2 linked regions of the Caenorhabditis elegans genome follow. The protein of the gene in region 2 purifies or fractionates together with the protein of the main gene of each other region. This does not show direct contact. Each region holds a gene or a part of one and is shown on either strand. Other genes may lie near its edges.

Region 1 (4,611 bases), on a different chromosome or scaffold from region 2:
TATTTCAGAGACGAAATTTTCAATGCAATTAAATCTTTACCAAATGTAACGCTTATTTGGAAATATGAAACAAATGATTTGCAATGAGCAGAAGAAATTGAAAATATTCATTTTTCAAAATGGATTCCTCAAACCGCATTACTAAATGATGACCGTTTAACAGCATTCATGACACATGGAGGTCTTGGTAGCACAACTGAACTTGCGTATCTTGGTAAACCAGCATTAATGGTACCAGTATTTGCCGATCAAAACAGAAATTCTTTGATGTTGGCAAGACATGGAGGAGTTCTTGTAGTCGAAACGATCTTTGGAAAAGGGAACTTGTGAAAAATTCCATTTATTCAATTTTGAACGACGATCATTTTAAGAAGAACTCTAAAAAACTGGCAGAAATGTTGAGAAACCAACCAACAAATCCCAAGGAGACCGTAGTCAAATACACTGAATTTGTTGCAAAATTTGGTCCGTTCCCGGAAATGGATCCATATGGGAGGACACTTGGATTCATTCAAAGAAATCTTTTAGATGTATACCTTGTTATTATCTTTCCGTATATTTTTGGAATTCTGTCCATTTATCTTGTCGCATGTTTTTGTTTGAGAAGATGTGAAAAGTCAGGTAAAAACGATTGAACATTTTTCTTCTAAAAGAGATTCGAATAAATATGTATGTTCCTTTAATCTTATTTGGTTCTCACTTTACACTGAAAATTAGTACAAATTTTCATCAGAGTTTCAGTCACGATAAATTTCAATCAATAAAAAATGACACCACTCAAATAGAATAGGGAATAATTATTACTAATCACACACGTTGTTTGAGGCAGATACTAAATTGAAGAACAATAATTTGTGCAGAGCGATTGGAGTTCATATCATTCCCGTATCTTTGAGATTATCTTGAATAACTGTATCTATCACTGTATTGATGATTATTTGAACTTGATCCGATATTGCACATGTTTCATGGGTGTACCTGTAAAATTACGTTTTTGAAATTTACATTTTATTTTCTAGTACTGTTAGTGTTCCATACTGGCACAAAAAAGTCAAAAATATCCAAGAAGTCGAATACGTTCAGAATTCTTTTAGTTTGTAAGTTCATAGTTAGATTTTCAAAAGTGCAGTAGACACAAAACTGTAGTCTCAAAAACTCACATTCTTTTTTTGAAGTCCGGGTGAATCCCTTCTCTAAATTGTCTCCGAAAGAACTTTGTACCTTCTGAAACTGTGTTTGCTCCTGAAACATGAAACTATGAATTCAAAAACTTGGAAAACAAACCTTCAAATTTTGGAAAGTAATCCTTAATCTTCACATGTTTTACTTTCTCCTCGAACAAATCAATTTTGTTCAGGAAAAGTATGACTGCCGCTTTTTTGAAAAACTTTCCATTAAAAACTGTCCAGAACAATCTGATGGATTCATGCATACGGTTCTAAAATTTAATTTTTCGTTTCAATTTTGTGGCTGTTTGGAAAAATTACCGTCTCTTCATCCTCCGCTAACTTCTGATCAAACTCGCTAATAGCCGCTACAAAAAGAACAGCGTCAGCCTCATCGAAAAAGTGATACCACTGAAATTAAATTCTCAATTAGGAAACAAAGAAATAGTTAAATTTCCAACTTTTCGTCTTTCAGATCGTTGTCCACCACAATCGCAAATCATCAATTTGATATTGTTCATAATAACTTCGACTTGTGCAACTCCCGTTGTAGGTACCCGTATGTGAACAATATCCTGATTTGTCGGTTCAAAGCCTGGCAATTTTATACGGTCGATGTTGTCGAAGAAACTGAAAATGAATTATTAAGTTCAAATAACACAATTTTGAGATAATTTAATGTAGTTATTCAATTGATTTTTTATTGCAAAATTTGCCTGCTAGAACAAGAACATAAACAAGTTAACATCATAGACTTCAGCGATCACTATCACAATTTTTTTTTTCTAGACCTGTTAATTACATGTTCCGTTAGACCAAATGACAGATACACGAACAATGTCTGTAGTTTGGTTTTATTTGTGAACGAACAAACATATACATAACTCGAAACATTTAAATAATAACTGTGTGACATAAAAGAATATTTTAAGAAACATTTCAGACATTTTTGAAACGTGTTTTTGAATCAATTGAAACATTTTTCTATAATTCTAACTATGAATGCGCTACAAGTTTCCAAAAAAAAAACTCACTACTTGGCACTATCTGTCAAATGAAATGTGTCTCTCTTGGAATACGCGTCCTGTATTGCACTGTTTCCCCAGAATTCCTTCAGTGTATCGGCGAGTTCAGGTCTCATTATTCCATCATGAATTACCGCCATTTTCAGTTCTTCGCACATCACAGTATATCGCTAAAAGTTTTTAATTTGAAACCTAATAAAACCCGAGAGGTCGCAAAACTCACTTTATCATCGTCTTCCGTCATCTCCAAAATATATTCTCTGACGTATTCTAACAACATCTCAGAAAATTGACATAAATTCTGTATAATTAGCACTTTTCGTTCGTGTAGTTCTGTCTTTGTGTAGTTTCCAGTCATGGCTCTGAAAATAGAATGTTTGGCTACCCATATAACAGGAAATATAATAGTTATTAATTAATTTTCAAACTGTAAACAGAAAGAAACAGACACAACTCCCAAGGTATAATCAGAAACCTATTTATTTTCCCGTTGTTAATTCAAAATATTAGGTCATGTACAAGAATTATTAAAAAATCAAATATACCTCATCTGTTTCATGACAGTACTTTTTCCACTTTCACCAGGCCCCAGTAGAAGAACGGTTTGCTCCAATTGCATGTTTTTCTTCTTTTCGAGCTGTTTTTCTATTTCTCTGAAATATTAACGACAATTATGAAACATGTAACTCAAAAACTGACTTGTTAACTTTGATCTGATCCTTCATCTCGTCAGTGAGTACAAATGACTGACAGACCCCCATGTTTCCCTGAACATATATTGAAATTTTTGAAAGAACAAAAATAATTCAAAGATTATGACGATTATGATAGAGAACGCAAACTTTAATTATAGGATGCCAGCGAGATTCAACTTAGACAACGAGACAAATGAAATGACTAATCAGAAAAAAAAAAACAAAACATGTTGTCATGCCAAAAAAAAAGTTTCAGAAAGCTTGTCGAGACAAACTGAACAGACTTTTCGGCAACGAAAATGTAGATTTCACACCGGAAATAAAGTCAATTTCCACTGTATTGCTCAGAGAGAATGTACAAGTTTCGTCAAAAAAAGTTACTATTTTCATGAGAATTTTCAAATCCATCAATGCAAGAGAACATTCCTTCAAAAAAAATTATTTGAAACCCGTATTTCAAAGCCGCGCGACAAACTGAATATGTACCAAAAAAAAAAAATAAATAGATACGTAACTCGGGATGAAACCAAACTCGTTGACTAATTTTCAAAAGTCATCAACACTAGAAACGACAATATAATTTCGAAAGAACTTGTTAGACTTAAAGAGAGATAGGTAAATCCTAAATTTCAAGACCTTGTGTGACGCCATAATTTTCCATGAAAAAGCAACATGGTAGCACGTGAAGAACATAGTTACTTTAGATTTGTAGATTTGTACTTTAGATTGGGATGTTTTTTTCTTTAACACAAATTGTTTTTTGTCTCAATGTTAAAGATGAACCAGTTTTTCAAGAACGTTCAAAATGACATTTGGAAACTTTCTCTAAAACCACAGATTTTGGTTCACCGAAAAACATCTGAACACTTTTTCACTACCCGTCAAAGTCAAGAAATATTTAAATGAAATGGCGATAAATTACATTTTTGTTTGAAACCAGTTGTAATCGTTATGTTCGCAAAATTTTTCCGAAAAGCGCATGAGCTCAACACAAATTTAAAATCACATAGGCTTAAAAGTCGTGACAACACAAAAATGTAAAAAAAAAGTTGTGGAGAACACGAGAGAAGAAAAGGGAAAAAAGCAAAGTTATGATTAAATGAAATGAGAAGGAAGGTAGTGATGATTAGCGGCGGTCCTCTCCCCCCGGTTTCCTTGACTACCGCAGATTCCCAATTAAGCCTCTCTGTAACAAAGAAACTAAAAGGTGAATAACAAAACAAAAACACGAGAACAACTTCTGACTTGCATGTTGAATGAAATACACTCAAAAATCGCGAGACTACTTGAGCGTGGGAATGATCAAAAAGAAGGAAAAAAGATAATGTGATTGTTGGTTGTGTATTTGGGTTAGAGGGAGATATATTTATATTATCAATCAAAAAAAAACAGAATACCCGATGCTCTATAGGGAAACATTTATGTTGCTATGGTTTTATGATAGCTGGTCAGAAAAATAGATAGATTAGAAAAGCGTTTTGAAAAAGAGAGAACTACGCCAATTGAGTAAAGTTTTTTAAACGACACGCAAACGGAAATCGTTAGCTTTGTTGTGAGTTAAACCGGAAACAAGTTTATCTGGTCTTGATATCAATAATAACACTGGGACCAAATCTCAAACTTCACTAGCTAAAATAATAAAAAGTAAATGAGTTAAATGTCTTTGTGAGTCTGAAAACGAATAAAAGCGGAAAGATTATTGCAAAAAAATTATGTTCGAACTTT
Region 2 (4,656 bases):
AATCACCATTTTCCGCATATTTCTGTGATATTTAATGGAAAATGGCTCTGAAATGAGTGAGTTCTCGGAAAAAAAATCATAAATTTGACAAAAAATGGAATAAAAATATATATTTTTCAAAAAAAAGCGTTTCAGAATTACCACGCGATGTCAGGCTGTCCCATTACGGTTTGATCTACAAAAAATGCGGGAATTTTTCGCCCAAAAAATGTGACGTCAGCACCACGTTCTTAACCATGCACAATCAGTTGAGAACTCTGGCGCATTTTTTGTAGATCAACGTAGATCAAGACGAAATGTTGCACTCTCACGTGAATTACTTGTTTTTGTTTTTAAATCATCAAAGACACGTGGAATAAAAACTAGTTCTAAAATTCTAAAATTTTCCTTTAAAAAAACCGTTTTGGAAAAACTGAAAATTTCATAAATTGGTACTTTTCAGAATTACATAATTTCGTTTTTTTTTTTTTTTTTTTGGTTTTTTTGAAGTCAAAATCACAAAAAAATTGTCTTTTAAAAACTTCATTTCCGTTTAATTTTTTTTTAAGTGTGTGAAAAAACAAAAAAAATTGACTGTAAAGTTCATAAATTGGTACTTTTTTGTAGTCAAAAGCACGTAAAAATCGAAAAAACTAGTAATTCTGGATTTTTTTTTTCTAAAAAGTGAAACATCTGAAAAATGCGCTTACATTTTCAATATCAAAGTATACTATTTTAAATTTCCAGTCCAAATTTCGCCAATTCTTTCCGTAGTCTGTTATATTTGACGGCACAAATCAACTGATAACAGTGATAACTATACGATTGATTATATATTTATTTGCAAAAGTTATAGTTATGATGATGATGATTATTATATATATATATATCGGCGACACGTAGTTTCACACATGACATTTTGTTTCTTCTTCTTCTTCGATGTACACATACAATTCCCGAACGAACGGACGGAGCATTCATGCTTAAGACAACTCAACTTGAGCCATAACACACGCGATCTCCTCGTGCTTTGTGTCACCGGCGTTGTAGTTGAACATTCGGATTTCCAGCTCGTACGGCTTCTGCAATGAAGGATTTTAGGATTTATGGCCATCAATGGGTTTTTGCCTAGCTCTTTAGGGTTTTGAGACATGTACACTTGGTGTCAGAGTGTCTCATTTCGGCTTGATCTACGTTGATCTACAAAAAATGCGGCAGAGTTCTCAACTTATTTCGCATGGTTAAGAACGTGCTGACGTCACATTTTTTTGGGAAAAAAATTCCCGCATTTTCTGTAGATCAAACCGTGATGGGACAGCCTGGCACCACGTGGCCTGAGAAACCGAAGAGTCTAACATTTTTGCAATGTGAGGAAATTTGGAATCGCCGGAAAAAAATATTGAAGGATTCCACTCCAGATTGTAAGGTTTTGTACACAATTTGGTATATTTTCGGCCAAATTTCGTCAAATTCACACTCCAAAAGCAGTATTTCGAGAGGCCCCACCAAAACAGGATGCACGAAAACAGGATGCAGTGGGCGGAGCGAATTCGCAACCACCGCACGGTTATTTCGCAAGCCTCGCACGTTTTTTCTCTTGAAAAATGCAACAATATCAAGAAAAAACGTGTGAGGCTTGCGAAATAACCGTGCGGTGGTTGCGAATTCGCTCCGCCCACTGCATCCTGTTTTGGTGGGGCCTCTATTTCGACTGAGACTTGGATTGAATTGCCAAGAATCGGTCATATATCAAAGCTTGAAATGCTTTAAAGGTGGTGTAGTCGAATTTTTTTTATTGCTTTATTAGACTCAAAAATGTCTGAAAACACCGAATTTCATAATGAAACTCCTTGAAAACTTCAACTTCTCAAAAAAAAAAGTTATGACGGCTCAAAAAATGGCCTAAATTTGTTAAAATTTAAAATTTGACCGACTTGTCAAGCGGCTGGAAACTAACTTTTTTGAAATCACCGTCAAATTTTGAGTATAAAATTTAATTATCTTGCGTTTTCCACTCGATTTAGGTATTTTAAAGTCGATGGACGGCGAGATTTTTAAAATTTTTTTACCAAATCTCGCCGTCCATCAACTTTAAAATACCTAAATCAAGTTGAAAACGCAAGATAATTAAATTGTATACTCAAAATTTGACGGTGATTTCAAAAAAAAAATAGTTTCCAGCCGCTTGACAAGTCGGTCAAATTTCAAATTTTAACAAATTTTAGGCCATTTTTTTGAGCCGTCATAACTTTTTTTTGAGAAGTTGAAGTTTTCAAAAAGTTTTATTATGAAATTCGGTTTTTTCAGACATTTTTGGGTCTAATAAAGCAATTAAAAAAAATTGACTACACCACCTTTAAAGCATTTCAAGACTTGATATATGACCGATTCTTGGCAATTCAATCCAAGTCTCAGTCGAAATACTGCTTTTGGAGTATATATTTGGCGAAATTCGGAACCCTGAAAAAACTCATGTCCGCACTTTTACCGAATTCGATGTTAGTCCCGAAATTATACTTGACAAACGCCGAACTTTAAGTTTTCCAAAAATAATTCGTCGATTTTTCACTTACATTAGCAGCAATCAAGTCAATAATCGCCGAGAATTGGCTCAAATCCAACGGAAGAATCAAGAAGAGTGGTCCCGACGTGAGTGGGCAGTTGTGTGCAAATTCGCATCCATCGATTCCATTCAACAATCCGAATGTGGGAAGTGCGGTCCACGAGCAGCCGCCCTGCCATCCCGACTTGTACTGATTGATCTTCACGTTCACATGATTATCGTCGATCTGTGGTCCGTGATTGTAGGTGGTGAGGTTCAAAATGAACGGATGGCTCGGGTCGATTGGGTAGAGAGGGTTTCCTTTGCTATCCAACGTTTGGATGTCGGTGATTGAGAACTGCTCACCGTCGGAGCACATGTACGAGTGAATCTGCTTGTCAGTGCCATTTGGGAATGGGCAATCTGCCAAGTCGATTGGCATAGCGTTAATTTGGAAGCCGGCGGCCGTAATAGCAAGGAGTACAGCGATGTTTCTCATCATTTTGAAAATATAAAATATCAGTTAACTATAATTCCGGTAGTCGAAAAATCTAATTTATACACAAACCCCCCGATGTCACCCCATTTCCCCCGTTTGCCACGCCTCCCCTTGGCTTATCAGTATAACCATTCACATAGGTTAGTTATCTGTTGTGACGTGGGAATTGTTGGGAATCTGCAGCATGGTTTGGACGCGACGCCAACTGTTTTCTGGACACGAAAGTGGCGGCGGTGATAAGAGGAATAGTTAGTTAGTCATTTTTCGTGTCGACATTCGAAATTGTGATTGGGCTTTGCAAAAATAGATTTTTCGAAGAGAACATGGGTGGCCGATCAAGTTGAACGTTTGAAGTTAACCTGTCAATCAAGTTCGAGACAAATTTGCCGATAACACGTATTGTCAGGGGCTGTCCCGTTATGGTTTGATCTACCAAAAAATGCGGGGATTTTTCGCCCAAAAAAATGTGACGTCAGCACACGTTCTTAACAATACGAAATCAGTTGGGAACTCTGCCGCAATTCTCGTAGATCTACGTAGATCAAACCGAAATGGGACACCACGTGTTTCGAGCGAAAAGAAACCCAAAAAATGTCTGAAACTTCGGCCAAAGGAACAGTTCCCATGTTTTTTCAAGGAGTGCTGTTCCAGAATCAATAAGGCTCAGTTTTGAGCATGATGCTTTCAATTTTGGTGATTGATCGTAGTGCTTCCACTCAGCAAATACGGGGTTCTGGCCTTCCTCATTGAATTTTTCGCGCTCCATTGACAATCGCCTGCCGGACAACTCGTGGGAAAGTAGTGTACTCCACACGGACAAATACATTTAGTTTTACAATTAAAACCGAGCCGCGACGCGACACGCAACGCACCGTATAGCTACCTCATATATGGCCGATCCAAAATGGCCTAGGTCGGCAAAAACTCTTCCATTTCAATTTATGAGGAAAGCCAGACTTCCGTGAGCAGAACCCTTCTCAGATGTTCAGTAGTCGGAAATTTTTGGGTTACTGTAGTCCAGGGGTATGCGGCAAATTTGTCAAATTTGCCGAATTCGCCGCACACATCAAAAATTTGACAATACAGTTTTGACCAAAAGTATTGATTTTATCCCCAGAAAATTTCTGTAAAATGACACAAAATTGAGTTATTTTGATGTTTAAGCAGACACACCACTCGGAACTTATTCAGAAAAAAGACGTTTGTTCAGAATTCGATAGTCTTCGTGCTCCCCAATTTGCCCAATTTGTCGAATTTGCCGGACTTGCCGAGCTCGGCAAATTTTGAGATTTGCCGCACACCCCTGCTGTAGTCGTCGATCAAGAATATTGGAGTTGGATTTTTCAAAAGACGTGTTTGATGCGTTCATGCACAAAATTGTGCACAAACTTAGAGTTTTCAATTCACTATTGACGGATTTTGAAAGGAGTTGATGTCCAACCAATCAGAGCTGAGAAATGCGAAATCCAGAAAATTCCGCCTCCTCTTGAACGTTTCCACGTGGTGACCGGCTGTCCCACATACGGTTTGATCTACAAAAAATGCGGGAATTTTTCTCCCAGAAAAATGTGACGTCAGTGCACTCCTAACCATGCGAAATCAGTTGAAAAGTTTTCGTCTCTTCTCCCGCTTTTTT

The links.
Region 1: the proteins of Y51F10.7 (region 2) and gpa-10 fractionate together in Caenorhabditis elegans (co-fractionation; one large-scale study listed by BioGRID). This does not show direct contact.

What each region holds. Positions count from the first base shown.
Region 1 is NC_003283.11:6,851,852-6,856,462, forward strand, and holds gpa-10 (Guanine nucleotide-binding protein alpha-10 subunit), read right to left. Parts: upstream 2,961-4,611; 5' UTR 2,953-2,960; coding exon 2,891-2,952; intron 2,845-2,890; coding exon 2,737-2,844; intron 2,554-2,736; coding exon 2,415-2,553; intron 2,362-2,414; coding exon 2,201-2,361; intron 1,797-2,200; coding exon 1,628-1,796; intron 1,578-1,627; coding exon 1,488-1,577; intron 1,439-1,487; coding exon 1,285-1,438; intron 1,243-1,284; coding exon 1,161-1,242; intron 979-1,160; coding exon 873-978; 3' UTR 670-872; downstream 1-669.
Region 2 is NC_003279.8:1,910,884-1,915,539, forward strand, and holds Y51F10.7 (MD-2-related lipid-recognition domain-containing protein), read right to left. Parts: upstream 3,053-4,656; 5' UTR 3,024-3,052; coding exon 2,553-3,023; intron 1,062-2,552; coding exon 963-1,061; 3' UTR 801-962; downstream 1-800.